3 linked regions of the Oreochromis niloticus genome follow. The protein of the gene in region 3 binds, or shares a complex with, the protein of the main gene of each other region. Links are inferred from orthologs where the notes say so. Each region holds a gene or a part of one and is shown on either strand. Other genes may lie near its edges.

Region 1 (11,067 bases), on a different chromosome or scaffold from region 3:
TTTCTTTGTAAATACACATATATTTTTAATATCACATTATGAGGATAGTCGTGGCGGACCTGTGCTATGCTGCCTTTACCTGTAAGGTTTTTTTGTTTTCTGTATTTTTCTTCTTTTGATGAAGACTCCTCAGCATCTCTCCTCACTGCTCCACAGGCTCCACGGGTCTCATTTCTGGCCTGTTTTTCTATTTTTATTGTTTAATTGTGGCTAGCAAACAGTTTTTAGGTCCATTACTGCCACCTTCTGAGTGCAGTAGTGTATTACATCTTACCAGTATTGGGGTTGTTTTTTGTTTGTTTGTTTGTTTTTAAGTATTTTGAGACAAGACATTGATTAATTTTAGAATAGGGAGTCAAAAATCCTGACCACCCCTCACTGTGAGTGTACTGAAGTTTACTGTTCAGCTTTTAACATTTATTGGTGATTTTTGTGTTTGTTTAGTTACATTTTAACAACATGTAAAGCCTTAAAGTTTGTCTTTATTATTTTTTATACCTTGTTTCTTTGAGAAATGGCCATCATGAGTAACTGAAGCCACGCTGCATGTTTTGTCTGAAACCTCAAACAGTTCTTCGTTCCTTGGATTAAACTTTTTAGTGTTTCTGCAAAGAAAATGAATTTGAAGAATTAACTGAGAGTAGGGAGCAGGTGGAAGAGAGCCTGGACAGAAGAGAAATAAAAAAGTCAGTGGAAGCAAAAAAAGAATACATGTGTATGAATGAGAGGGAGACTGGTGTAACAGTGAATCTGCAAAGAGTAGAGGTAATGGGAGTAGAGCAGGTTTGTGGTTTGGAGATGGGGGGCTCTGACAAAAAAATGCAGGAGGTGGAGGTGGCACAGTTGAAGATGCTCAGATTTTATCTGGAAGTGAGTAGGAGGGACAGCTGAGGTTGAGCAGTTTGTAGACGACTGTTTTAGCCCAGACTTCTGTCCTTTTTTTCGATTTTAAAAAGGCAGATGTGTATTTTCAGAGAGTAACACAGTAGAACCTTTTTCTTTTTAAAAGCACATTAAATGTTACTACAGAAGCAAACTGTGTTGTACCCGACTTAAGTCTCAGTTCAGGCGCTCTCGCTGCTACCCATCCTGCTGCCCTTCTCAGTTTTCAGGAGCTTATTAATTGGTACTTTAGATTTTTTGTTTGTCACAGGTAATGTCTATAAAAATATAGGACTTATCATTCACATACAGTTCTTCTTTGGTAATTCAGGATGAACTGATAGTCATCTTCCCACTTGCTCTTTAGGTATCCATTGTTGTTTTGCAGGTCCAAACCAGCCCAAGTTAATCCAGCAGCAGCAGCCGCCGACTCTCCAGTGCAACTCAGCTGTCAGATCTTTATGGCAAATCGATGGATTGAGCTGCCAGGGTTTACCTCCATTCAAAAGGAAATATTCTCTGTATCCGGAAACACCCACAGGCTCAGTCCTGTCTTCAGCTTTCTTCACCAGAGGCCAGAAACTCCATTACCCAGCATTTCAGCCACCATCCTCACAAGATGATCAACACAGTCTCGAGTTTTTACCTCTGCCAAATGGAAATGGGACACAATCTGAACCCACTTTTTCCTCACCTTGCATGGATGACTTGCGTCTTCCTCAGCGTCTCTCCCCATTAGAGCCAAGCACATCTGCAGCTAAAGGTCAGCCTCTACTCAACAACTCGGCAAACCCCAAACAGGGTGTCCAGCAGCAGCCATCCTTACGTAGGAGACCCTGGCTCTCGGACAACGCTGGTTTACTGCAGTTTCCCTTTAGCAGCATCATTTGCATGGGTCATAAAAATACATCTCCGTCACCAGATCCAGATCACAGCTGTCAGTCAAAGCAAGAGCAGCAGGAGAAGGATTCACATCTAAAAAATGGAGGAACTAGTGCAGAAGGTTGCAAAGGGAATAGCTTGAAAGAGAGAGGAAAAAAATCAGCAGCAGAAGTAAAATCGTACTCCAGGAGGCTGAAGGAGAGTTTCAAATATAGACATGATGACACTACAGGAGACGGGAGGAAGAGAAGGCGCACAAATGATCAACAAGACTCCACCGGTTCTTGTTCTGCGTACAAAGATTTAAAAGTCAGTGATGGAACAAAGGATTGTTCAGTGAGTTTGTCGAGTAACAATGTGCTATTGAAGGAAAGAGAAGAGACTATCAGGTCTTCAAACGCACCATCTGGTCTTCCAGGGAAACCCAGTAAAATGTCGCCCGTCATTGACAATGGGGGAGAAAAACCCTTTGGCACCAAGCCGTCTCGGATCAGGACCAGGGCCTTTATAAAAAAATCTCAAGAGGCAGCAAATAACACAACCCCACCTGAAACGCCTTGCATTTTCAAGCCTGTTGTCAGCAGAGCTCGGCTTGTGAATCAGGATGGCGTCTTGCATGCGAAAAGGAAACGTGGTAGACCCCGAAAAATAAGACCTGTAGAGGAATCTTCAGAAAGTGTTCCTGCCATTGTTGAAAACAATGAAAATGGCGACAATGCGCAGGTTGACAGGAACTTGCCAAAAGAGCAGGAGGAGAAAAAAATGGAGAAGACGTGCAGAAAACGGAGGAGGAATGAGAGCGAGGTGGAGGTCAGCCCAGTGAAGAAGACTGCGAGTGTCGAGCACACTGAAAAGGCTGAAGAAATGAATGCCTGTGACGTAAAACCTGGGACAGTGAATCAGCGGCACATGGTCACTCTGAAGGACATTCAGAAGCTTATTAAATGGCAACACGCACGAAGGATGAAGTCCAAACAGACCCAGGAAACACATGAACCTGTAAAAGGCACAGATGGCATATTGAAGAAAGGAGCAGACATTAAAGACGGGACAAACTCTGAAGAACATCACAAAGGTTCAAACATCGCAGTTGATAAAAATCACAATCTTCTTTTGAGCCCGTCTGCAGAGACAAACGGCCGTATGAGCGAGAAGAGGAGTTTGGATGGTGATGAAGACCACCCGGTGTCCTTAGACGTTGTGGAGGAAGATGAAGCCAAGGTGACAACGGAGAGAGAGCGACCACTGGGAAGACCTGATGAAGGTACTTTGAATTTTGCTGTTTCTGTTGCCATGGTAAATTACTTGGATTTTGCTTTGAAGGTTGTTATTCAGAATGAATGATCACATTGGTAGTATTGATTTTTCTGCTCTATGCCAATCATATAGGCACCTCCGAGGATGGGTTGGCATAGTGTGCTGTGGCTTCAGGCCATTTGTCTCAGCAGACGTGTACTGTAGAAAACACAGACCACAAACTGTCATGGTGGAGCTAAGGCACAGTGTTTGTGTTGCCCCCATGTGGGCTAACTGGAAGCTGCACAGTCTCACTTCAAAAACCTTTTTTAAAGTAGATGCAGATTTAGACATATGAAAGAGAAAAAAATAATTAAAAAAACTGAAGGTCATTACAGTTTAAACCTTGCAGTAGAACAATTTTACTTTTTAATATTTTTTTTCTTTTTAAGTCTGCTCATAATTTCAGTGGCTGTTCAGACATCAGCCTTAATACGGCCATTTTTTAAAACGTGCTGTTGCACAATCCAGCGCATGAACAAAATGTACTTAAGTGCTGTTTGTCCTGCTGTCTGGTTGCACTGCACCTTCATTTCTCAGTGGCTCTACTACATATAAAAAAATCTACCTTGGAATGAGAATGCAGTGTTTTGTGTAGGAAACACTTTAAAATTCTCTCTGTAGGCATGTGTCCATGTTTGCTTTTGCTATCTAGTTTCTTCTTTTTCTTTCTTTTTTTTAATGTCCTCAGTTATCTGTCACAACAGTGAGATGGCACTCGAGCAGTTAAAGCATGCCATAAAGCTTTCTTTCCATTTGGCTGTGCAGGTTTCTGTCATCTACTAACTGTTATTTTCAAACTAACCACCTAACCCTGGTCCTTCCTGTGGAGGACCAAGACTAGGTGGCAGCCTGACCAGGTTGCTCTTGTGGCAGTCACCATAGATCAGGGGTGTCCAACTCCAGGCCTCAAGGGCCGGTGTCCTGCAGGTTTTAGATAGCACTCTGGGTCAGCACACCTGAATCAAATGATTAGTTCATTTCCAGGTCTCTGGAGAACGTAAAGAGATGTTGAGGAGGTAATTTCGCCATTTAAATCAGCTGTGATGGATAAAAGACACATCTAAAACCTGCAGGACATCGGCCCTCGAGGCCTGGAGTTCCCCACCCCTGGTCTAGGTGGATGGACTGTGAGATCAGTGGCCACTCGACTGAGATGATGCTGGTCAAAAGCTCACTGCTGGCTGTAGAGGCAGGTGATCAGTTATTTATCATCGGAAAGTGTGAGTATGCCTCTTTGTGCTTGCACACAAACATGCATGCACATGCCCCTGCTACCCTCACAGTCTCCTTCTATTTGGCACAGGGAAATCGGATACAACAGGGTCTCCATTCCTCAACGATGACTGCTCATCTCACAGTGACACCCTCCTGCCTGAAGAAAACACAGCTTTGGACTTGTTGCACCCCTTGACCGTGAAGATAACCAGTACAGACAAAAAGGGAAAAGAGGAGGAGGAAGAAGAGGTGGATGTCCTGGTTTGCTCCCCAGAAAAAGCACCTCAGACCAGAGAGTGTGAGGGGTTCCTCAACAACATAGACATGACTCCGAATGAAGATGAGGAAGATGATGTGAATGAGATTGACGTGACTGGAGACGAAGCAGAGTAACGTCATGTACGTGTGTGTATTTTTTACCCCGTCCAGTGGTCGGCTCTCACTCTAATGCTGTCTCTGTTCTGGTTGTATTTATGTTCACATGTCACATGAAGTTGCGTATAAAGATTCATTTTTACATTCTTCACTTCATGTTTGCACCACTTTGGGTTTTCGTTTAGTTCCTTGTGTATGCGGTTCAAAAAGATGTTTAATTTCCATTAATAATATGCTAAAGAAAAAGTTTACAATAAGTTTGTTTTGTCAATTTTATACATTTTACATTTTCAGCGAAATTGTCAGATGAATAGAGGAAAAGGCACTTGAGTGGCCTTCAGTGATGTCCCTCTGTATGTTTCCAATGTGGAAAAGATCTGTTGTTTTAAGTCTATATTTGTAAAAGTGTTTTATGTACATCAGTACATAATATAATTATGGTTTATTAAACGTTTTCATGTGACAGCCTGCTTTCTTTAAAAAGCACCATAGCTGAACACAAGAGGGCACTACAGAATATACACTCACTGGCCACATTATTAGTTACATCTTGCTAGAACTCTAATTGGCATAGATTTAACAAAGTGCTGGAAATATTCCTTTTCCATTTTGGTCCATATTGACATGACGGCATTGCATGTCACGGCTGCAGATTTATGAGCTACACATTTATAATGCAATACTTTGGATTGAGCTCTGGTATCTATGGAGGCCCTTTGAGTGTCTTGCTGGAAGCAGGCATCAGAAGATGGGTACACTGTGGTCATAAAGGGATGGACATGACACACAAAGCAAGGTCAATCTCTGCTTTTATGTTTTCACAAACTTCTTGACCAACCATCCAAATACTGCAGAAGAAATGGAGACGTACAATTGGGAAGCAGTTTTTCCACTCCCAAAACCAAGCATCCGGTGGTTATTTGAGTTACTGTTGCCTTCTCATCAGCTTGCAGCAGTCTGCCCATTTTCCTTTGTCGTCTGCCATCCACAATTAATTTTTACCCAGAGAACTGGTGCTCACTGGACATTTGATCTTTTTCTGATCTCTCTCTGTATTGGAACATCTCAGAAGATTCAAAACGTTTATTGTCATGTGTACAAAGAAAAGCATTTCTCTGTACGATGAAATTCTTTCTCTGCTGTCCACACACAGATGCTGGTTAATATGTACTAATAGATAAAATACAAATAGCATGAATAAATAAATGGAGACAGAAGTTTCAGAAATACAGAACAAACCAACTTCCTCATTCTGATTTGAACTTGAGCGTTTTTTTTTTTGTCCTTCATCTCCCTGTGAGGCTCTTATCTTACTTTGGAGAAATACACATTCAAACACACACCAGTAGAGGGCGCACTTCCTGCTCTCTCCGCTTTCTGCTTTTTGAATCCAACTTTATTGTCACCGGAAGTATGTGGAGGAAACGGTACACACGTGTTTTCGTGCAGGTTTGAAGGTTACTGAAGCAGCGGGTAGTGCTCCTTGCTTGCTGTCCGGAGGAGAGGCTCAGCGGGACGGCGTGTTTGTGGATCGAGACCCGGTGTGAGCAGAACTGAAGCGGAGCCATGGATCCTGTGAAGGCGCAGCAGCTGGCGGCGGAGCTGGAGGTGGAGATGATGGCTGACATGTACAACCGGTAAAGCCCAAACAAGCTAACCTCTCAGCTAGCCACAGCAGTCTGCTGTGAAGTGTGGCGGCTTTTATGTGTCAAACTTACATTTATTTACAGTGTGCCAGAATAATGTGCAAAGATAATTACTGTTTAGTGAAGCTGAGCCTGTAGAGCTCATCGTTAATGCGAGCAACACCTGATAAAGTCAGTGTCCTGCTAAAAAGCTCATTATTATAAAGGCCCACCAGCCGGCATGTTTAAGGCAAGGGGAGGCTTCTACTAAAGGGTGGCAAGGGTTAAATCCAGTGTATTTTAAAAAGAGCTATACTGACTAAAAATTAAAGACCTGAGTTAAGTGCTTAACTCACTGAATTTTCTTCACATAGCACAAATTACAGTATAGGCACAGTACGGCTGTTACTCATAATATAAAGATGTGTCCTCGTGTCATAACACAGTAATCTACTTAAATGCCGTCACTGGTGTAAGAGTAAGAGTGCATTCATTTATATGCCTATAGCTGCCCCCCGGTCATTGTCTTTGTTGTCTTTGTTGAAAAGCCCAAGTTATTTTCTATTTGCAAGAGAAGCATTGATAATGATTTGCTATGCGCCAGTGCACAGGTCAGTGATGAAATACATGTGTTGTAAATGTGGACCTAAAATGCAGCGCTCACAAAGGGTTTCTCTTTATCACGTCCACATATAGTTAAAGCAAATAGGCTGTGTTACCTGATGACAGGTGTGTGGATTTTAATGTTCTTTTTGGCTTACAAAAAAAACCTGACAAAAAACAAAAGAATTAATTTAAGCTTTTATTAAATTAAACCTCACTTTAAAATACCCCCAAAAAAACAGTTAAGTGATTTTGATCACAAGTATTTTTATACTTGGAAGAAACCTTTACAGCACAGACCTGCGTCTCTGAATGAAGAAAAAACTAGCCTGGTTAATATTTATCCTTTAACGACCTTGCACAAATTATACATTCATGTGCTTTTAATAAAGTCTTGCAGTTAAAGCCCACCGAGCCCGAGTCAGATTCAGTCAGTTGCCAAAGAAAATAGTTTTTGTATATTTTTTTCCAAGTGTGTTTGGCTTGAGAAAGATGAATAAATATACGTGAGCTATGAGTTATTGGTTTGTTCAACACAGAGCAACAAACAAGCAGTTCGCTTGCTTTACTTTTTTGACTGAGGTTTGATTGGCTCTTGGCTCTCTGTCATTTTGCTGGGATTTTCTTCTGCAGTAATTTGATGGCACCCAGTTTTTGACATCACTCCATAAACCAAATACTATTTTTTGTTTACATTTTGTGGATGGAAGTGAGCAATAATTCTATCAAATTCTAGTTAAAATTTTCTGAACATTCATATGATACCTGGCAACATCTTAGAGCCATTAAAGATGTCTTACTTGCCACCTGATTATTGCTTGCTCATACGTGATAATTCCCCTTTTGCCTTTAGCATAGATATAAAAAAATTGGTGGAAACATTCCTCAGAGATTTTGGTCTGTCTTGACGTGATGGCGTCACACAGTTGTTGGACATTGTCAGATGGGCCGTTCTGTTTAGTTGGCTCTGGTGGGCGAGGCATGTTATGTTTGTTTGTTATGTTTAGTATCTTTTCACAGGAAACATTTTGACATGTCAGTAAGTTGATAATGTTTCAGATTTGGGTTTTTTTTTTTGGTATCCCAATGCTGGCAATACTTTTACAAGTATGTTGTGTAAAATAATGTTTTTAACAGTTTAACTGTTTCTTGTAGTTCACCACAACAGTGACAGTAACTGGGTCTTTCGGGCAGTTAGAGGTGTTCGTGGCTTATCGTCAGCCTTGTTGCAGTTTTTTGAATTCTGGGGCAGGATGTGAAGAACCTAACCAATAATTTTAGTCGGGTTAAAGAAATAATCCACTGAAATGTAATTTATCAGAATTAGCAGTAAGGTCCTATCAGGTCACCACCCCTGTGTGTCCTAAGGCAAACGGTGATGGTGACCTGCAGAAGGACCTTAAGGCTTCTTCTGATGAGCATGGTGTTGTATTGAAAGACGTTTGGCTCGATGAAGTGCTTTTGGATAGACTCATTCAGCACCATGAAATGAGAGGTTGATGACTTTCATGTGAAATGTTTTTTGAGTTTGGTCTCTTTGTGAATCTCCTGCAGTGAAGAGGAACTGGGTTTAATGTCCGTCGGTGGTCATGTGGTGTTTGTTGGGCAAGGATGTATGAAATTCTGTCCTTGGGGCTTATCCCTGTGAAGACTTTGAGGACAAAGGAAGTAATTAGTTGCCATTTAACTTTTTGCTAGTTCTGGTTTGAAGTATATAATTAAACTGAATCTGTGTCCCTCCCTGCTCTGATGGAGGATCTGTGTCAAAACTGGGAAGCACATTTCTGCTGTGACATGAACCAGAATACATTTTATTTGCAGAAATTCTAAATGCTCTTCTTAAATGCACCTTTTCTTGACCTAAAAGTTGGTTAATTTAACATCTTTAAGAAAAGAAATAACTGTTATATCAGGTAATGTGAAAATATGAGTTTTAAAAGGAGAGTCTTTAAATTCAGAGCCAACTTTAGGTTCACAAAAACAACTCCAGCAGATGGCGCTGTTCTGTTTTACTAAGTGACTGTTGTAAGCAAGTCATAATGGGACCCCACAATAAGGTGCTTATGCATGAATACATCATCTAGCAACAAGTTTGTTATGTTTTAAAAATGTCTGTATCATCACTCTTAATACTGAAGAATCTTGACTGTTTCCTTCCTTTCCTCTCAGAATGACTAATGCCTGCCACAGGAAGTGCGTACCGCCACATTATAAGGAGGCAGAGCTGACCAAGGGTGAGTCAGTCTGCCTGGACCGCTGCGTGGCCAAATATCTGGACCTTCACGAGCGGCTAGGACGCAAGCTGACGGAGCTCTCCGTCCAGGACGAGGAAATGATGAGGAAGGCGGCTGTGGGGAGCGGATAGATGCTGATGAAGAAAAAGTGGAGAATGATGTGGGATCAAAAGGTCATGGGGATGGGGTTAGCATGTGTGGCTTCAAACAATGAGAGACTTGTATTTTAATTAAAGGGTGGGAAATTAAAAAAAATAAATAAAGTGTGAAGTTAATGCTGTCGAGGGTCCGCTGAGAGAAACTGCCTCTTCCTCAGAAACCTGGTGGATCAGCAGCATAAGGACACGTTGAAACTGCTCACAGTGGACCAGACACTCTGGATCTTTTCCACTTTCTGTATGTTGAGCCTGGACTCTGGAAGTCACCTGAAAATCTGACTGAAAAGGAGAAAGGCCTCTGACGCTTAACATCAGAAAGTTAGAAACCAGAAACCTGGTTACATGTGACAGGTCCAGACAAATGCAAAGAATCATTCAACTTTAATCTTTATGTCAATTCACCCTTTGAACTGGGGTCAGATTTTTCTTGTTTGGTTTTGGAAGGCACTGAAAGTAAATATAGACTCTTTGCAAAGCTGCAGTTCAACCCGTGGAACTAGTTTATTTACAGTTGTCTGTCATGCAGACATGTCAGTCCTGTGCAACACCTCAGAAACAGCGAATCATGGGTCAGGGCTTGCACAGAATTCATTATGGGCTGAGCCAAAATGTCTTTTTTGTACTATTCATGGTTTACTCTTTTGACCCTGGTTGGTTCTTTGTCATTAACAGCTCAGATAAAAAAATAACAATGCCTGAATTTTGCTCATTTTGTCATGCTTGTGTAGACTGTGTTGTGCTGTGTGTCAGTGGACCATGTTTTAGTGTGTGTGTCTCTTTTTCTTCATGTTTAAACCACAGTGACACAGCTTTTCATCTGCACCGCAAAGAAGCTGCACAGTGTGCTGTTAACTCTAATAAAGCGCTGTCATCATGTAGCCTAGCTTCATGAGTGTTGGAAGTATTTATTCTGGCCCTCACACGAGGTTTGTGGCATGGTTCGACTTCACTCTCACGCAGTATGTGGACAACAGAGTGTGTGTGAATGAATATACAGTAACTATAAGATGATATACAATGAAAGCTTGTGTGATTATTACAGATACAACACGATGTTTTTCTACATTTTGAAAAAAAAAAGGTTCCCAAATCTTTTGGATATATAATTTTTGTAATTTTGCTGCTGTACACCACCATCGAAGATCTATAGTTTATTGCAGTTGTTGAACTTCCGTTTGGTACTTGTTCACTGGAACTCTCAATATGAAAGCCGATGAGATGTTAATGCAAGTGGAGGAGGCTATTATTGAACTGAAAAAAACAGACTAAACCTATTGGAGAGCTAAAAAAAAAACTAGAAAAATTTGCATTTCCTGCGAAAATGCTGTGTGGATGCCTTAACGCTGAAATTGCGTGCTGAAAAAGCTGAAAAAGATGAAAACTTGCAAAAAGTTATATGGCGGTGAAGAAACTGAAAATTCTGCTGAAAACAGGTGAAGAAGCATAAAATGTTTGCTGAAAAGTGATGAAAAGCCAAAAACTTCTACTGAAAGGGGTAAAGACAGAGAAATTGTTGCTGAAAAAAAACATCGCCCTAAGCAGGATTCGAACCTGGCCCTCAGGCAGCAACTCATCTCACTGAGCCAAAGTCATTCTGACAAAGAAGAGGTGGAGAGACTGACAATTCTGCTTAAATGAGCAGAAGCTGCTGAGAATTGTGCTGATAAGAGGTGAAAAGGCTGAAAATTTTGCAGAAAAGAGGTGAATCAGCAGAATTTCAGCTGAAGAGGTAAAGAAGCAGAAAGTTGCGCTGAAAAGAGATGAATCAGCAGAATTTCTGCTCAAAAGAGTTTT
Region 2 (10,058 bases), on a different chromosome or scaffold from region 3:
CAAGTGACTTCTTCAGTCTCAGCTGACTGCAGGTTTCCCCAATCTTATAAACAGTACATTTGCATAATGACTGAAACCAGCCCACTGAAGAAACGGACTGGCTGGGAGGTCAGTTGCGTCATCATAATTACGCAAATTCCCATGACCATTGATCAACAACCACTGATCAAAGGCCACTGATCTGAGTTGGGGAATGGCTGCAATCACAGCATTGTAAGGGTGAGGGGAAAAAAAAAAAAAAAAAATCAACTGAGGAAGAATCACCACTGGAGACTCTAAAGCAGGGGTCCCCAATCCCAGTCCACGAGGGCCGATGTCCCTGCAGGTTTTAGATCTCACCCTGGGTCCACACACCTGAATCACATGATTAGTTCATTACCAGGCCTCTGGAGAACTTCAAGACATGTTGGGCGTTTATCAATATGCGTACTTGTGCGTACTTGCGTTCTCGTGTACTCGTGATACGTCATCAGTCGGAGACCAAGTACTGTTCCAATTCGAAGTATGCATCAAGCCGAGAACGCGAAAAAGTCCCGGATGTGTTCTCGATCCGCCCGTTTTATCGAGCATGCATTGGTGTGGACTTGGGACAGCTATATATCCCAGAATGCATTTCGTCCAAAACTCAACAGCGGACTCCCGGCACATCGTTTTCAACCCCACCCCCCCGCTCGTGGACTTCTCACTACTCAGGTCAAAGAAACCCCAGCAGCTGTCTATAGTATTGAGTGTCCACTAGAATAGAAATAAAAGCGTTCTAACATCTCACCTGCTTGTTTTTATTACGGTATGTACACGTATGTACAATTTTTATTAATAGAGGTTTCACTACTGAGGTTAAAAATGATATATAAGTCACTTAGATCACTTCTAAATGTTAATGTTTGGTTTATTTCAGTGTTTTATTTGTTCCTGAGTAAACCGGTTTGGCTGTGATTACAGCTAAGCTTCATAACATGTTACTCACAGTTAAATTAGGAGGGGACGGCAGTAAAAACTCCGGACCTGTGACATCATCACGTACGCAGGTGTTCCAATTATACATATCGCGAGTCCGTGCTCGCGTTCTCGGCGGGTACGTACTCCCGTGCGTTCTCGGCGAGTACGTACTCACCAAGAACGCGAGTACGTACTCGCGTACTTGGGCATTGATAAACGGCCGTTGAGAAGGTAATTTATCCATTTAAATCAGCTGTGATGGATCAAGGACACATCTAAAACCTGCAGGGACACCGGCCCTCGTGGACTGGGATTCGGGACCTCTGCTCTAAAGAGTTCCAAGTACCTCTACTGCAAAGATGGCAACCCTATTATTCTGTCTTTTTTCTGGCTTGAAACTATCTTGCATGCACTGATCAGACAACATTAAAACCCCCAGCCTAATATGTGCCCTCATTGTGAGAGCACACAAGCTCTGACCCATTACAATATGTACATGACCTCTGTGGTGTTTGGCACTGGGATGTTGGCAGCAGATCCTCTGTGTCCTGTGAGTTGCCGGGTGGCACTTCTGTGGACTGGACTTCTTCCAACACATCCCACAGATGATCAATGGGATTGCAAAGTGTGGATAGTGGAGATAGGGTCACTGCTTCAGACTCCTTGTTATGGCCCTCATGCCTAATTCCTGATCAAGTTATTGACTGTTACAGGGAATGTTAACCACGAGGAGGGCGTGTGCTTGATCTGTTATCATGTTGAAGTGGGTGTATGAGTGAGCGTAATATCCAGGTGAATCCCAGGACCAGAGTTTACCCAGGGATGGATTACACCCACTTCACCTGCAGTTTTAATGCTGTGGCTGATCTGTGTGTATCGCAGATTGAGAAAAGGCAGGAACCAATTTCATCAGTTAATGTTCAGAAATTAAAAACCTGATGTATCCACTTTAGAATGCGCTACTGTCTGACTGCCCATCATGCTGCTGACATATGATCGACATCCAATAGAGTTTCTTTGTGTCCTGAACACAGACCAATGAAGTATTTCCCCTTCTTGGATGGTTAACCATGAGAAGCAAAGCCTTCAATTACCTAAAAACAAACCTCACCAGGGCTGGTGCAGTTCTTATGTTTGAACTGGCTTTTCTGTTTGCATACTCAAAAGAGAAAACTGTCATTTGTTCACTTGTCACAGGACTATAAAGTGAGCCGTGCAATTAAAATATGTATTTGGCTTCTTAATTTTTCCTCTCTTTTCATTACTGAAATGTTCTCTTTTGCTGAAGTTTATTATTCAGGCATAATTATGTTAGATACTCGGCGGGTTTCTGGAACCCATCTTTTAAGTCTACATTTAAAGGTTACCTGGTGAGAGAAAAATTACACATAGAAGCTTAGTCAGGATAATTTGTCATAATGAAACATTTAAGGATCTACTAAAGTCAAAACCAACAAACGTTTTACAAGTACCTGCAAGAAAACACAAAGACATGTTTGACAGCTTCACACAGAACTCCTCTAATTGGGAACAACTGGCTGGCTGATGACGTGTAGAAAAACAGCTTGCAGCACACAGAGGCAGTTTTGAAGGCAATTTGCCATTAGCATCAAAATTTACTTAAAGCCTGAGCAACATTAGTAACTTTATCTCTGCATTTTTCAGGTTTCTGTCAGGGAGCAGTGTTAGACAAACACTAAAAAACAAAACTAAAATCTAACAGGAAACCAGGACCTGACTGACCTCTCTTAGCAGGGGTTTTAAGACTAACCTGGGGTTACTTTCCACTTTACAAGAGGATAAGCTTATTCCACTGCTAGATATTTATATCAGACACATTGTACACCAAAAAAATAAATACAGACCAAAGAAAAGATTTTAAGCGTAATATTCAGACCAGTTTAAAGAAGTTGACCCGTTCTTCCTTAAGGAGGAAACTTACAAAGTGTTACATTATCAGGCATCAACACTATCACCGCGTTAATACCTTTTATTTGAATGTTTATAAAGAAGGCATAAATACTGCTCAAGCAGAATCCTGTTGGACTCGCGATGGTGCAACCTTAGCCAGTAAACTGAAAAATTCAGGATGGACATTTGCGGCTGCGGAAAATGGGACATGAAATGCAGCGTTAGTGGTGTTAGTCCACTTACTGTTGGCCATCACTGCAGTCATACAGTGCCACGCTCAATTAGCGTGAATACAACACGTCCTTGGCTCGGGCTATAATTTTATGACAGCCGTTATTATCGTTTGAGGAAAAACGCGTCTGCTCTCACAATGACTAAGTCGTTACGTTAAAGGAGCATAGACGTGTACAGTGACTATGCTGGCAATGAGCATGTTACCGTCAGCCACTTCTACGTTGGTGTAACTCGGCGAAACCCGAGCGACTCTCTGTGGCCCATTCTTTAATTTAGACACCGAGAAACAGTAGAGCCTTTACAGTGAAGTTTACAAATTTCACCCCAAACAACGGACGAAAAAAGCAGAAAGGCCACAGGCTATGAGAAATAAACAAGTGTTAATTAATCTCACCTGTTCCGTACTGCGGTGGAGCTGCTGTGTTGACAGGATGCTGACGCCTCGCGCAGGTCTCACCACCGGCAGTCTGAGCTCGAGCCGATAGGTGGAGCGCGTGAAGCGAGTCTGGCGCATATGCTTTGGCGCAGTGTTTAAGGGGTTTCTGGGAAATGTGGTCTTTTTTTTTTTAACAGGACAGAAAAATGATAAGACAGCATGTAAGGAACAGCGTTTTCGCCTCAGGTGTAAACTTATTTAGTCAATTTAATTTGTACTGCACCTTTGTTTGAAGTTTAGTGTGCTTCAAAGTGCTTCACAGATGAGTGACAGGCGAAACAGATAAACTGTAATAAATAAAAAAATAATACAATAAAGACAGGAGTATTGAATAAAGAAAACAGACATCAATAATAAAAAAATATATTAATGATAAAATAAACAAAAATAAAAGTAATTTAGAAGACATTAATATAATAAAACCGAATAAAATGTAAAGTAATCAATAAGATCTAGTATAATCTTGCGAAATTCTGTTATGTTATCTAATTATTATTTTATACAATAATCCAGTGGAAACAATGTAGGTAGACCAAGGGCGTAGATTTGGTTTTGGCATTGGTGGGGACGGGTGTTTCAACCACCGAACCCCGCCCTGTTTCTTTTTTTTTCCTTTTCGTCTTTGTTTCTTGATAAAAAAAAAGGAGAAATATACTTGCCTACATATGCTATTCTACATGCTATTAAACCATTTAAAATTACAATTCATAGTTTTATATGTGAATTATATAATGTTAAATTACTACTAAACAAATGACTAAGTATTTTAGACTTTAGTTTACTTTGATTTTATTCCACATCAATCAGGTATCATACAAAAATAAAAATAGCTTCAAATACAGTCAAGACAATAAAAGAATATAACTTTAAGGACTTAAATGTGGGATGGAGAGATTTCGCAGGTCTTTCCTCCCCACTGCTGTCAGACTCCACAACAAAGACTTTTGCAGCTGATCAAACACACACATGTGCAATAAGACGTTGTAAGTTGTATTTTTACTCAGTTGTATATAACATTTGTATTCTATTTTTATCCTAATGTATATTTTATTCTATTTTATTCTATTCTGTACAGTTGTGTACAGTATATTATACTTATTGTATTCTAATTTTTGCTATATAACTTTGCACTGCCCACTTTCTGCTGTGACAAAACAAATATACCACGTGTAGGAATAATAAAGGTAATCTTATCTTATCTTAACACGATTACTTGAGTTATAGTACACCAACTTCTCTTATACATTAGCACTAAGGGAACACTAAATGAACTGGTGGTTTTTGTCGATAAAACTCATCTAAGATGACCACAAAATTATTATTCTGTGCTTGATGTGCCTCACCTTTGGCCCTGGCTTTTCCCCTCTGACTGCACTAGGACATATTGCCTCTTGATAAAATAACACATTGATTCGTGCCATATAAAAAGTGAGACATATCAATTCAGATTCTTTGTCAAATCTACACTAATCAATCAATTTACATCAGCAGCCTAACAATTGTAGTGCAAACTGCACTACAAGGTGGAATATTTGCAAAATCATGACTACCTCATGATATTTTGTCTCAAAAATTAACCCTATGAATATGTCAGTGCCACTAGGATGAAATTATTGTGTCACCAACATTTTAACGTAGAGACATATAATTCTAACAGCCTCTGTAAACTAATATCCTGGCTTGCTCGAGGCTGCCGTTTTCTCTGACAGTTTCAATCAAAATTAGAAATGTTGCTCTGAGACTGAGATAACTAATAGTGCTGCCAGTTGTGCAGTTAGTTTCCAAAACACGTAATTCATGGTTGCATACAATTTTAGACTGATGTGGGCCAAAGCCTAGCATAGCTTGTAACGTTATTATGATGGACACATTTTATGAGTGAGCCTGGCTTTAAGTGACTTAGAGGTTTCTTTGAAAAATACTTTCTTATATGCACGTTCTTCCTCTTTGCTACCGTCCTCCTCTCAGCGCAGGCTTGCCGCTGCTGAAACTAAACAGAGCTCCCTGAAAGGCTCAGCCAATCACATTGGCCATATTTGTCACATGAGGTCGGACTCCAGTAGAGAACGTAATTTAACTCTTTCTGCACCGCTGGGTGACTGAGACGCTGACAAATCTTTTTTTTTCTTTCTATCGGGTTTGGGGGGTTTTTAGAAGAAGCGATCAAATTATTGGTGGGGACATGTCCCCTCCGTCCATGCCAAATCGACGCCCTTGAGGTAGACTAAGGGTTACGCACGCAAAGCATAAACTCCTCAAACACACTTTAAGTACAGGTTGACTTTGTGTCGAATGTGCTAAAATTAACCAAAGTAATCTTTTAGTGAGAGAATAAAACCATTTTTATAAAAAATAAATGAGAATACACACTATTATTATTTAACCTATCGTGGTTTGTTCGTGTTTTTGTGAAGCTAAACACTTTAATTACCGTTATTTCTATCAGCAGACAAATGGGACGAATATGCGCGCGCTCGTCTTTCGACGACATTTACTTGAAGCTCTGTCATTGAGAAACATGGCGGCCTCCACGAGAGCTGCAAATGCTGCTGCTTCCAACCCACAAGGTCCAGCTTCGGTCGGCCCGAGCGTGGACAGCCCGACTCTTCAGTACAGTATGATTCTGGAGCATCTTATCGGTGACAAGAGGCCCGTGAAGGACCTGAACCCCGCCGTGATGGGGGGGCTGCCCGTGCCTCCGAAAAGCGACGAGCAGAAGATGATCGAGAGGGGAATGGAGAGCTGCGCCTTCAAGTCTTTGCTGGCCTGTGTGGGAGGTAAACGGAGACATTGAGAGTGTAACAAACATCACAAGGGTTTGGTGTTTTTGTGCGTGTTTGGCTGCTCGTGCAGAATATTTCGTGTGCTAGGTCACCTCAGATATACTAGGCTATGGGAGCTGTAATGCTATTATACCAATAAATAGCAAATTAATCAGTCACCTGATCAAACCAATCAGTCATCGATATTGTCTTGTCTTAAGATTATGTATTTGTGTTCAGACATAAGAAACGTGAAAGCAACATTTTAGAGCTTTTTGAATAAACAGGTATCAAATAATCAGTTTATAATAAAGCCACAATGTTGCCCAAATGCCAATCAGCTCAATAGCAGAAAAGATCTGTATATATTACAATTTTAAAAGTCTGATGATGTTTTTGCTCACCACAGGGTTCGTCCTTGGAGGAGCTTTCGGTGTTTTCACAGCTGGAATTGATACTAATGTTGGCATCGACCCCAAAGACCCTTTGAGAACTCCAACAGCACGAGAGGTTCTAAAAGACATGGGCCAGAGGGGGATGTCCTATGCCAAGAACTTTGCCATTGTGGGCGCCATGTTCTCCTGTACAGAGTGCATCATAGAATCAGTAGGTCACAGCATCTTACATCCTCCTGTGGGGTCTGACAGACTCATAGTGGATATATAACCTCACACTGGAGCTTAGAACAAAAGGCAAAAATGAGCAAAGGCGATTAATTTTCAATGTATCCACCAGTCTCTTTAGAATAATAAGGAATGAATGAAATAATGATAACAGTTTGTCAACAAGGGTTTGAAATGTAATGTGAATCCATAACATGGCTTCAAAGAGGAAAAATTCTCAATATGTGGTCAGATTACTAGAGCACTGTCAGAATCACTGAAGACATATTATATATGTGGACAGCAAATCAATTTCAGCAAAGTAGTTGCAACTTACGCTAAGTTTGTAAATGTGCAAATAGTACAGGAAAGGTAGATGCCAGCTATCTCTTATTAGTCACTCCTCTTTCTAAAATGTAGATGCCAGTATTATATTTGCTTTGCATTTCTTGCTTTTATTCTATCCCTGCAGTACACTGTGGTAATAACTGTCTTTTTTGTACCTGTTTTTCATTTACAGCACAGAGGCAAATCTGACTGGAAGAATGCTGTGTACAGTGGTTGTGTGACTGGAGGAGCTATTGGCTTTCGTGGTATGTAACTTACTTTATTAACTAACAGTTTGCATTACAACAAATTTATGCATTTTGTCCACGTGTTTATTTTTCTGTTTTGCAGCTGGTCTGAAGGCTGGTGTTCTGGGATGTGGAGGCTTTGCTGCATTCTCTGCTGCAATTGAATATTACTTGCGGTGAAGTTCTATGGAGTGGCTCGATGGACAAAAACATAAATATTACACATGTGTACCAGAGAAAGAAGATTCGCACTGTGAGCTTGCTAACCCTGATGTTTCCCTGCACATCAAGGATTGCTGTTAAAGCAGAATTGAAGTGTACTGTTCAAACACAGGGATGTTAAGTGGCACCACAGTGGGCTAAAGAAAACAAACAAACAAACAAAAGACATGTCTGTTTTTCCTGTGACTTTCATATTGTGGACAGTTGGAGCAAGGAATGCCAGTTTCTTATGGTGAATCTTCAAAAACAGAGCAGAGTGGGTCTGCTTCAGTGGCGTACTGATCAGGTGATGAATGCTAAACTTGTGTGAACTTGACTCTGGGTCTGTAAAAACTCAGATGAGCACTCTTCTGTAAAACATTGGTTTGTTGTGTAAGTAACTAAGTAAGTAACTAATCCACACCAGGATTATTTATAATAAAAGCATTTTTTTTAAATTGTGGATTTACTACTTACTACTAGGTCCCAGGCTGTTGTGGCTGTGTAAGGTTCTTCCACATATTCCACAAAAATAAATACATAATTTTGGCGAGGGAAAAGATGTACTTACTTTTTCTGTACTCCAGCCTCAGTAACTTTCACACAGTAACATCTGGTGTAATATTTACACCTCTGATGAAATCTCACAAGTGTTAGCTTTATTTTGATATCACGATTGTTTATACAGAGTTTGTAATTGCAGAGAAATACTCAATTTTTGGGGGGCATGTCATTTTCAAGCAGGAAGCTCAGAAAGCCCTTTGCGTCTTAACAGGTTAATTAGGCCTCTGATATTTATTTATGCTAATTTATAGTTAAGTTAATGGAAGAAAAATTAAAGCTTAGTCTACTGTTAGCATATTTATTTGAAAGGGCATTGTGTTACTTTGTTTACATAGTAGGATATAGATCACAGTTCTTCGTCAGTGCAGCATTTTCTGTAAACTCAGTAAAGGTCTGTGGCTGAATGTAGTGCAGTAACCACCAGAGGGAGCAGCATGTGTCAAATGTCAAATTTCCAAATGTTGCTCTGGATGGGAGACACTATTGATATTGTGAATGATTTAAAGACATTGTATAAACAGAATAAATTTCAGTGATGGCAGAATCATGGAGATGACAAAATGAAGCACTATTTTAATCAATTAAAATCTTATACTCCTGTTTTTAGGAATACAATACTATCTTAAAGCATAGACATACAAAATGAGAGCATTTTGATTTTTTTTTTAAGAGGGATGGAGGTTAACGTAGATATTTAGCCTCAACGTTACAATATATTCCCCACAAATCAAAGTCAAACATTTTATTCATTTTATATAGCATCAGGCCGGGGTCTTTCTGTGTGGAGTTTGCATGTTCTCCCCGTGTTTGCGTGGGTTCCCTCCGGGTACTCCGGCTTCCTCCCACCGTCCAAAGACATGCAGCTTGTGGGGATAGGTTAATTGGATAATCGAAATTGTCACTAGGTGTGAATGTGCGAGTGAATGTGAGTGTGAATGGTTGTCTGTCCCTGTGTGTTGGCCCTGCGACAGACTGGCGACCTGTCCAAGGTGTACCCCGCCTCTCGCCCTATGACAGCTGGGATAGGCTCCAGCGCCCCCGCGACCCTGAAAAAGATAAGTGGAAGCGAATGGATGGATGAATGGATAGTTTTAATCTGGAAACAAAAAACAGGAGTAAAAACAATAATCTATTACTCCTAAAACAGTAACAGTCATAATATTCATCTAGCAGTGCATATAGTATTTTTACAACTGCAAGCACTGCTGGAAATGTTACCTCACACACTCAGTTAGGTGTGCTTATGTCCACATCACTATCCAGCAACATTTGTCACCAACAAATGGACACCACTGGAAAGAGAGACAGAAACAGCTGCTAAACATTTTCCCACCCTTTTTTCCTAGAATTCTATGATTTCTTCCAAAATCATGCTCACATTCCCACTGCTACCCCGTTTAGTAATTATAAGCTTTGTTCGATTGTCACCATGTAATGTATTATGATAAAGTCAGGCACAGTTTGTTTGCAGAAGTGGTTAAAAGATAGGTTACCAAATCGTTAGAAGGTACTAAACAAAGTGATGGTAATTTATCTGAGAATACTGTTACAGATATATGCTGGTTATTGAATGCTTTCTCCAACATTAATTGATTATCTGACATTACTACTTCCTGCCATGCAGATGAAAAACAAAACACTTTCTGTGTGAGGTGCTGGGCCATGCCCAGAAGTTCTATCTATGGATAGGAACATAGCTGAAATTTAACATAGTACATCTACTCAAGTACAGATTTACTTTATTTATTTGTTTCTATGTTATGCTACCTTTTGCTTCTACTTCAGTGTTGTATGGATATACTTTGGCTCCATCCCATTTATGTTAAGATGTGAA
Region 3 (9,547 bases):
CATCTTCTGTTAAAAAATTGACGGACACTTTGTGGATCCTTTGAAGCGATGAGTAGAACAAGAACACAAACTATGCAGGGAGTTTCTCACCAATCCGCAGATATTTAAAGTCAAAGAAAAGCCACCTATGGGCAACAAACAGTTAAAGGTGGAATTACAATAAGTGACACCTGAACAGCTTTTTAACATGTATCAGAAGTGCCTGAATCACATGAATTAACTGATACAGTCAATAAGATAAAGACCCTGAGACATTAAACATGTTTAGCATTAAAAAGAGACTTACCTTGGTGCAAACCAACAGTAATCTGGCCCTTAATCTCCTACCCACCTACAACTCATCTTCAGGGATAGCTAGAATCTAATTTCCCCTACCAAAAATCTACTTACCGCCTCGATCTGCCCCCCCATAACACAAGGCACAGTGCAAAATATGTTCTTCCTGCAATACAGTTTAATAATTAAATATTTTTGCTTCCACTTACCATACAGATCTGGGTTACTCCTAAGGTAGTATTTGATGAAGTTTCTTCCAGGCTGTGGCATCACTGACCCCTTCACTCTGTCCAGCACCTGCATCATGATAAGGTCAAACAAAAGAAACATGGAACTTCAAACTGACTGACAAAGACTTTACGTGTAGACAAAGTGTCAGGTAAATGTCAGGTATACCTGCATTGTGTCCACATTGAAGAAAGACTGATAGTACTCAAAGGTCCAGAAGCCACCACTTGGTTTCTGCCCTCCTAACAGCTGGAAGCACAGACGTCTATCAGCCAATATGCACTCAAAGTAGAAACTCAACCTTTATTCGTAGTCCACACAACGTTTTTACCTCTGAACTCTCTTGCTGACCCTCCTCGTCCTCAGATAGGTCTAGCTTTACATCTTCTCCTGCTGATGCTGTTGTGCTGGGGGTGTTTGAGCCTGACATACTGAGTGTGGAGGCTCCAGGGTCTGCCGATAGCAGCTCTGCTGCTTCTTCAAACTCTATGGATGCACATGGGCAAAAGGCAGTCGGTAAGCTCAGTTCTTCTGATCACCACTCCCAGAGGGATTAAATTCCCATAGACTTCATGTTAAAATGTCAAACTTTAAAGGATTAAAAAGCATATTTACAAACAGGTACTGAAAAAGCGATCTCAGTTTCTGTCTATAGTTTCCCGCTCTTGATGTCACTGAACCAGACTGGTCCTGTTTTAATGATATTATTTGACAAATAAAACAACTTCCTGCAAGAAGCGTCCATACCTTATTTCACTTTATTCAACAGCAGTGTTGTGCTGCTTTAGATTACACAGTGTTGGTATCAGCCTGTCTCACAGAGAGACAGACTTTCTGTTAAAGGTTTTAAAACACATATTTTATTGAATAAGATTAGAAAACAAGCAGGAAGAGAAGTTACCGACACACCATGAAGGTGTTTCAATAGCCATGCTAGCATGCCGTTTAGTAGGTCAGAGAAAAGACTTAGCATTTGACCAATGTTCCCTGTAAGCTGCGCACGTACGCAATTGCGCACTGCTGGCACGGTCTCTGCGCACAGAAAATCTGCGTTGCGCACAAAATAAAAAATCTAACCTGAATTGAAATTAAAATTAATACTTTAACAATTCTGTTTTGCAGTGTTAGTCAGTGACTGGCTGCTCCTGTATGGGATTAGAACGATGCCACCTTATCCTATAGTCCAGCCAATGATGCGATTCACATTCGTATATACGCAGCGAATCAACGTCGTTGACAGGCTATGACAGCGTCCTTATGTGCCGACACCGGTGTTTTAGCTAGCAAAGCGGCGTGGCTGATGTGGAGTGAAGCCACGTTAATGACAACATGTACAACCATTGGAGATGTGAGCAGGACAGACGGAACAATTGACGGAAAAAGTGTGGACTTTATACCAGTTTTTAAATTGTGTTGATAGGCCACGTAAAACCAGAGTTATGATAAAAATATTTGCAATGTTTGGTTTTCTTCCTGAATACTATCGTTGTTTATATTTACTGCGGGAAGAAACGGTAAAAACTGCGTTTTATAAGGAAAACCCTCGAAAGCACTCTCCACCTGTGAGCAAAACCAAAACCAAAAAACCCCCCACCCTTTCCTATTGGTCGAAAAAAGTACCGTGTCGACCAATCAAAAAATGATATGGCAACGTGGCATCTAGTTGTTAAGAAACGGGGGGAAGTTTTAGGAGTGACGGCGGTGTTCTGAGATGTGAGAGATTTGAGACGTTTAGCGCAAATCTTGTGTAGTTAGTGTGTAGTGTAGTCAATAGTTTTGTTGTGTGTGTCAGAACAATGAGGCGGCTGCTGAATGTTACAGGTGTTACAGGAGTGATACAGCTCCTGTTGTCAGGCCTGCAGGTATCAGGCTGGTGTTCTCCTTTATCTCATAGTGGACAGAAATTATTTTTTGGAGTGGCACAAATAATTTGTGTGGCATCAAATGCAGAACACCTGATTGTTCTGTAAATAGTTTGAAATGTTTGTTTAAAAGCGCATTGGCTGCATTTAAAAAAAAAAAAAAAAATAGTAGCTGCAAAAAACTTTGCAGCTACCCGACCACATACTCATACTCATAATACAAGTCAGAGCTTTATGTATATATATATATATATATATATATATATAAAAAAAGTTAAAAAGTTCAAGTTATTTTTAATTCCAATAGTGTTAACATACTGCACAGGTCAATGACTAGATTTTTTTTTCCTTTTCATTGTAAGTGGGCTAAAGCAGTTAATTAGTCTAACATAAATGTAAATGCTTTAATTTGATTATTTTAATAAACCATGTAACTTGGATGGATTCGATGCTGGCGTGACCACAGTGCACACGTCTGATGTCGCTCACAGTGGTCCAAGGGACCGCTCAAGGAGTTTGTGTGTTCGCTCAGACACATGAAAAATTAGAGGGAACATTGCATTTGACACAGTATACACTGGAACTCACTGTGTGTCATAAATCAGCAGGACGTTCAACTGCATCCATGCATATTATGCAAATGAAAACAAACATCATTTTTTGGCAAATCTGACCCATAATCCTCTGAGTAACCTACACATACAGACAGAGGGTCCAAGTACAAGGTGCAATGTTACATGTTGCATGAAAGTAAAAGAAAATGTATTACAAGGAAGCAGGAAGAGCGTCTTTACATACGACTGCAATAGTAGGGTATGGCAAGCAGATGTCGCTGTTTGTCCTTTAGTAGATGGTTTCAATCAATAATAATTTATTTTCAACAATGTTTTCACGCTGATTTCGTGATTCAGACTACTGTACTATGTGCTCTGCATGGTCACTGCAGTATAAACTCTTTTACAGCCAATTAAAACCCCTAGGCAGGGGCGGATCTAGAGAAATGTTCTTAGGGTGGCATGAGGGGGGCAAAGGAATCAAATGGGGTTGCAAAATCGAAGCCTTTGTTTTCAAACACATATGCAGGTGGTTACATATGGTTAAAATGATTAAAATGCAGTGTGTATACATGATTTTCATATAAAAAATAGTCTATAACTTAATTATTGTCTGTAGCCCACATAATTAAACAATTTAGTTACAAAAAACATGTGAGTTTTGATTTTATGTACTGTATAGCCTGTATAATAAATAAATAATGTAGCCCAGTAAGAATAAAATACAGAAAGCTACACAACATGGGGCGGTTCATTTACAAACATAAGTCTAACGTAAGTTTCACACTGTTTTTTGTTAGAAAAAAATCAAATCGTTACATGCTTAAATTACACAAAATGTCAGGAATCTGCACTGTCATGAACAAAAATTTAAACCTAATTTTTCATGATTTGTTGGATTAACCCTCTGATTTTACATTTGTATTTCACCCTAAATTGTTTCATTTTATTTTTTTCCCCTTGCCTTGTCTGGCACAATCATAAGCATTGGCTGAAAACAAGAAAAAAGCCGGTCCGCGCTATGGGCTGAACCATTTGTTAATAGTGGAGGGAGGTACCACTACGCAATATATTCAGTTTTAGCATTTATATTCACTGCTAACTGTAACTACGCTCAAAGTGTTAATGCTATTTTATTTTAATAAACAACACTGTCATATGCAAAACTAGGGTGGCAAGAGATCATTTTAGGTTGGCACATGCCACCCCATGCCACCCTTCTAGACCCGCCCCTGCCCCTAGGTGAGGGGAGAGTCCAGTTTTTTGATTCATGTGGACACTTAGTTTCAGCTTGGTTTCTGCATAAAACACAAGTGCAGCTCTGCCAAACACCCACCTTATTTGGAACTAACACGTGAAACAAAGAAACCCAGGCAGAACAAAACAAGCAGAAATTTACAACCGATATCTCCTTTAAAGATTCTGTCATATTTACCTTGAAACTGTAGGTTGTTTAGACTAGCCATGCCTTCAATGGACAACCTGTAACTTCATGCAAGAGCTGAGAGAAAAATGAACGTTAGTAAAGAAATGCTATGTTGAACATCTGTTAGTTCACCGACAAGGGAACCACATGAAGTTTACAGTTAATGTATAATATAAAAATATTAAATTCAACGCTTTAAAAAACGACAAGAAAAGGTGAAACGTACCAAAATGTAATAACCAGAGAGGTGAAATATGTCTTGACAGTCTGTCCTCGCTGCTCAGCAGGATCTTGCTGCTGATAATGATGATACTGAATGGCGTAATATCAACCACTCAGCAGAGACAGCTAATGCTACGACTAGCTAATATTTAAATTGTAAATAAAGCTAACTTTAATATATGACAACAGCGGACTTAATAAAATGCTAGACATTAATAACATTACAATACTAACACTTGTCTTTTACAGCCTTACAGGTCCTGCTGATACTGGAGTCAATTTAACACAGCTTCCGGTACACGTCACCACGTAAACAAAGCTGTCACGTGGAAGCGCTCTTCAAAATAACTTTATTTGAAAGGTTCTAACGTTACAAAAAACACAAGAGAGTGCTGGCACGGTGGAGCGGATGAAGATGAGTGTCAGGGGTGATTTGTGACAGGAGGATAGCAACAAAAACGACAGGAAGGGTTCACGCAAGGGAGTGAGACCCGCTATCATGTCTGGTGGAGTTGTCGGGTCGGTGGTCAGAAGTGAACATGGTAAGATTTTTGAGCAGTTTGGAGACGAAGTAAGAGAAGCAAGGTTGAGAAGAGTTTGATAGGGTGGATAATATATCGGACAAAGGATGCTGGTGGTGGAGCTGCACGCAAAAGGAAGGTGTAAGTGTAGTGACGGAGGACATAAAGAGGGTTGGTGAGACAGAAGAGCATGCAAGGGATTGGGGGTGATGGAAGCAGATGATCTATTCCGATGACCCATAAAGGGACCAGCTGGAATATAAAGAAGTAGTAGTAAAAGCATTAAAAGTATTTAAAATAAGAAATAAATGGCAGCAAAGATGGGCCACAGGGGCAAACTAAAGACATTCATAGACTATACAGGGAAAATGTACCAAAGCAAGGCAATAAGAAAAGGGAAAAATAATATTTTCTAGGTTGAGAATAGTTAAACAGGATTAACTGCATCTGCATATGCAACTATCAGGGAAATATAATTTGCTCAGTGCCAAAAGGAAAGGGGAACAGGGGAACAGTGCTGTTAAATAGGAAAGCTAGAGAAATTATCAAACTAAAACACAGAAACAAGGGGGTGTAGAAGATATTGGCAGTTATCGGAAAGAGTTATTAATGGTGGGACGGCAGCATTTTTCAGTTTTTAAAGAGAGACAGAAATTGTGAGCAGGGATGGAATGTAATTTATGGTAGCAGGATGTGTATTTGTAGGCTAATTCTTTCTGGAGTCTCGCACCACCACTCCAACCCAGTAGATGGCGGTAATTAAACCTTTTTGTTAGCTTTCAACCAAAAAAAAGAAGTAGCTGCCATTTTGACTTCATGTGAGGTCCCCCTTGATAGTTAAAATGTCAATTCTGCATGAAGGTTAGCGTCTTTAGTGCATAAAAGTCGTTAAAATGGCCTCGTCTCGTGTAGCGAGGATGATGTTCAGCTCTATGGCGGAAGCAGCGGCGCCTCCGGGCACAGCGAGCCGCTGGGAGCGGCTGAAAAACAGCAAAGTAGGTGAGAAACCGAGGCACGGGTTAGCCATGTTAGCTGGATAGCAAGGGGGTTAACGACCAGCTCGGTGGTAAACAGCTTATTCTTATATGGGCATATGTGATATAACAGAAACAGTCCCAGTTATTTTAATTGCTTAAATGACCATTTTAAACGCATTATTCTGCTAGTATTTGTGCATGTTGGTTGCTTGACAAAAACGGTTATACAGTATAGAGTTTTTTAATCCTCCTAACAACTATATGCCGCTGAATTGGGTTGTTGATGTGATAACATCATAAATAGATGGAGATTAGATCACCTGACTCCTCTCACCTTCTGCAGCTGGCCAGTGTTTTTTTTTTTTTTTTTTTTTTTATGGTAAAGGGTGTGAATGTAGAAAAGGAGGCATGAAGAGAGGTGGTTTACATCCAGGCTTAGGTTTTCCTCCTCTGCTCCCTACAGGTGTGTGGTGTCGCAGCCTGCTCTCTGACTACAAAGAAGCGTGCAGAGAGGCGGTAGTTGGCGCCTGGGAGAGGCCACTCCGAACATCAGTGTATGTGACGCTGTTGGGCGGTGCCTGGGCCTGCTTCTACACCAAACCTGACCGCTTGTCCTTCGACGACGCCCTGCTGAAACGTTCCAACCAGCTGGGACTGCTGTCCCCTTGGATCCGCAGCGGCATCTCTGATGTCCATGTACAGAGTCTGGTGAAGCTCCGTAACGAGGGCCGCCTCCGCCATGCCAGCCTGGGTCTTCTGTCTGTGGTGTACTACGCTGACTACGACCCAGACGCCATGCTGTACGAAGCCCAGTGCTCTAACTTGTCAGTACCCTGGAGGGAGATCCCTCAGCGGGTGTTGGACATTGGCTTTGCTGGCAACTGGTGGATCCTGGACTCAAAGATGAAGGACTATGACGTGAACGAGGATGAATTCAAGCATTTGCCAGCGCACATGCAGGTAACGTCACCACCCAGCGTTGAGGAGGTGGAAAGGAATGAGAAGTTGCACAGAGAGTCGTGGTTACCAGTGAGCGTGGAGGACAAGGGAGACAAAAACTAAAGTGGTAGACGGAAAGCAGAGTGAAGAGGAGCAACCTCGCACTTCACGCAGCAGGACAGAAGCCTGACTGTGTACACACACACACACACACACACACACATATCAGTCGCTGACCAAATGATGATTCTGCCACCGAGACAGAGGAAACAAAGTAAAAAGAAACACTTGAATTCTTTCTGACATGTTTTTGTTTTCTTACAGAAAATGTTGTATATCATTTATACTGTGAACCATGTGACAACGAATCTGTCAATTATTTACAGATGTTAAGGTGTAACATGTGATTTGCATTTGATCTGGATGTGACACACTGATATGAACTCTGGGTGATTATTAAAGACCTGTCATCACTAATCAGACTGACATGACTGTTGTGGATTTTGTGTGCAACTGTAGAGTTTTTGAAAGCACAAATCCTATTGTTGTATTTAAGTATAACAAAGATAAGGGAAAAGAACTGCACTGCTGCAAATACAACCTTTCCTCACATCTAGTTGCAGTAAAACTTGAGAATAGTAGCTATGAAACGTAACCATAACTGCTAATGACTAGAGGTGATAATAGATTCCCACTAAACAAAACTTTTATTGCAAAATCCTCAAGTCTGAAAAGTATTTTGTAGCAAAAAAAGTGAAGGTAAAACTGCAATGTAGTGAGGAGGTACAGAGCCATATAATTTGGAAATACAATGAACTGTATTTATAGTATTTGCATGTGTACAATTGGCTGTACGCTCTGGAACAAAACAGATGAAAATACACGGAGATAAAATTAAGTATGTGCTTATAAACGATTATTAGTCACACTATTAATATAAAAAAATGACTAGTATTTCTTCTCAGCTACCTGGTTATCCACACATAACCAAGCAATGTAGAGAGAAAAATGATTAAAACAAAAGGAAAAAAAAATGCAAAACTCAAGTGAATCTGAAGTCTTGGTGCTGTCTGTGAAACCTACAGTTAGGTCCATAGTGTCTCACTGTTTGCACTTCTTCACAGCTTCTGTTCCAGTGAGACCGTTTCTGTTGAGATCTTGGTGAAGAGTAAATTGTGTATCTCAGGTCCTTTGGCTCTTTGGGAATCACCTTTTTTGGTGCAAAAAATACAACTCTATGCCTGTCAAAATGCCCTCTCTGGCTTTTTTCATCAACTAAAGAAGCTGGAACTAATGATGTGTTTGAAAAAACTGCCTAAAGTTACAATTTAAAACTGGTTATTTGCTAAGTTGTCCCTTATATGTAAACACAATACTAGCTCACCTCTTGATTTTTGTTCCTTTTTTATGTTTGAATGATTTACAAGTCAGTGCTGAGTAGTTTACCAAACAAAAAACATTCATCTGAAAATGGTCAGATATAGGGCTGGATTAAACTGACTACTTTAAAAGTAGCCAGTGTTCAAAGAAAAACTTTGAAAGAGAATTAGGGTTCAAGCCCGCTCTGAAGTATTTTCAAGAAAGCCTTTTTTTTCAGAAATAGAATAGAAATGGGATAGTTCTTCCATAACACATCTCACTCATCTCAAGCACTTCTACATCAGTTTGCTTTTAATCTAATAATTACACTTCAATGAAGAAGGGATAAGCTTTTTCAGCATGTGGACTGAAGAGCCTAGGGATTGAACTACCAACGTAAAAATAAAATTGGCGATATTTGACAGAGTTTTCCAGCTCACACTGTGGACCATAAGTAAATAAAGAATTACTGTGTTTTAGACTCTACATAGGTGTAGTGGTGTTGTGGTCAGCACTATTGCTGCACAGTACAGAGGGCCTGGGTTTAAATCCAAGAGCCAGCTGGGGGCCTTCTGTGTTGTTTCTATGAACTCTCTCTAGCTGCTCAGACTTCTTCCCACAATCCAAAAAATTTGTTAAGTTACTGGGGAATTCTAAACAGACGATGTGAAGCCCTCTGCATTAATCCCATAACAAACTCACATTGGTGATATGGATGTAAACAGGTCTTAATGATATGTATCTAACACAACAGGACTTTGTATTCCTATGCACACCACACATTATCATCATAACCTGCACCTTATAATGCAATAACATTTATGTTGCTGATGAGGTTGTTTGCTGTGCAGCAATGCTGCCTGCACTGTCACATGGCAAATGCAATTACAGTACGTCTTAGCAGTTCAGTTGACACCCCTGAGAAGGATAATGAGTCTGACCCCTCACACTGATAACCTAACCACAGGAAAGAGACTGCACCACAGTGAGGTGACCCATGATGTCACTACTGTGACCCTGTAGCAAGGGCTATCAGATGTCATGCTAAGGGAGTCACAGGCCACGGGTCAGCAGGTTTTCTAAGTTGTTGCTATTGGATTTCTGCTCAATTTGTATTCTAAGGACTACACTGGTGTTCATGTTTGGATTTTGCCACCAGAGGGTGCTCTAGTGCAAAAATAAT

Evidence for each region.
Region 1: the proteins of timm29 (region 3) and timm10 are in contact, whole or in part, in a cryo-EM structure (PDB 7CGP), measured with the Homo sapiens proteins. The link is inferred for Oreochromis niloticus from reciprocal best matches to the Homo sapiens genes TIMM29 and TIMM10. Residues at the interface, in NP_612367.1 of Homo sapiens: Asp181, Asp183, Ile184, Asp186, Phe189, Leu192, Leu196, Arg197, Val199, Gln203, Leu204, Ser206, Asn209, Glu210, Leu212, Phe213, Asp214; in NP_036588.1 of Homo sapiens: His30, Arg31, Lys32, Cys33, Pro35, Pro36, Leu43, Ser44, Lys45, Gly46, Glu47, Ser48, Val49, Arg53.
Region 2: timm29 (region 3) and timm22 share a complex: the UniProt entries of both Homo sapiens proteins name them as parts of the TIM22 complex. The link is inferred for Oreochromis niloticus from reciprocal best matches to the Homo sapiens genes TIMM29 and TIMM22.

The regions. Positions count from the first base shown.
Region 1 is NC_031971.2:36,376,836-36,387,902, reverse strand, and holds timm10 (mitochondrial import inner membrane translocase subunit Tim10), read left to right. Parts: upstream 1-6,057; 5' UTR 6,058-6,219; coding exon 6,220-6,290; intron 6,291-9,050; coding exon 9,051-9,246; 3' UTR 9,247-10,156; downstream 10,157-11,067. Other genes in the region: uncharacterized protein LOC102082595, read left to right, coding at 1,250-3,028, 4,137-4,283, 4,367-4,671.
Region 2 is NC_031975.2:6,099,929-6,109,986, reverse strand, and holds timm22 (mitochondrial import inner membrane translocase subunit Tim22), read left to right. Parts: upstream 1-5,974; 5' UTR 5,975-5,984; coding exon 5,985-6,297; intron 6,298-6,691; coding exon 6,692-6,888; intron 6,889-7,404; coding exon 7,405-7,477; intron 7,478-7,562; coding exon 7,563-7,639; 3' UTR 7,640-8,220; downstream 8,221-10,058. UniProt on the Homo sapiens protein: Essential core component of the TIM22 complex, a complex that mediates the import and insertion of multi-pass transmembrane proteins into the mitochondrial inner membrane. In the TIM22 complex, it constitutes the voltage-activated and signal-gated channel.
Region 3 is NC_031969.2:3,552,803-3,562,349, forward strand, and holds timm29 (mitochondrial import inner membrane translocase subunit Tim29), read left to right. Parts: upstream 1-5,871; 5' UTR 5,872-5,982; coding exon 5,983-6,088; intron 6,089-6,529; coding exon 6,530-7,128; 3' UTR 7,129-7,487; downstream 7,488-9,547. Other genes in the region: protein YIPF2, read right to left, coding at 486-573, 673-753, 836-990, 4,356-4,386. UniProt on the Homo sapiens protein: Component of the TIM22 complex, a complex that mediates the import and insertion of multi-pass transmembrane proteins into the mitochondrial inner membrane.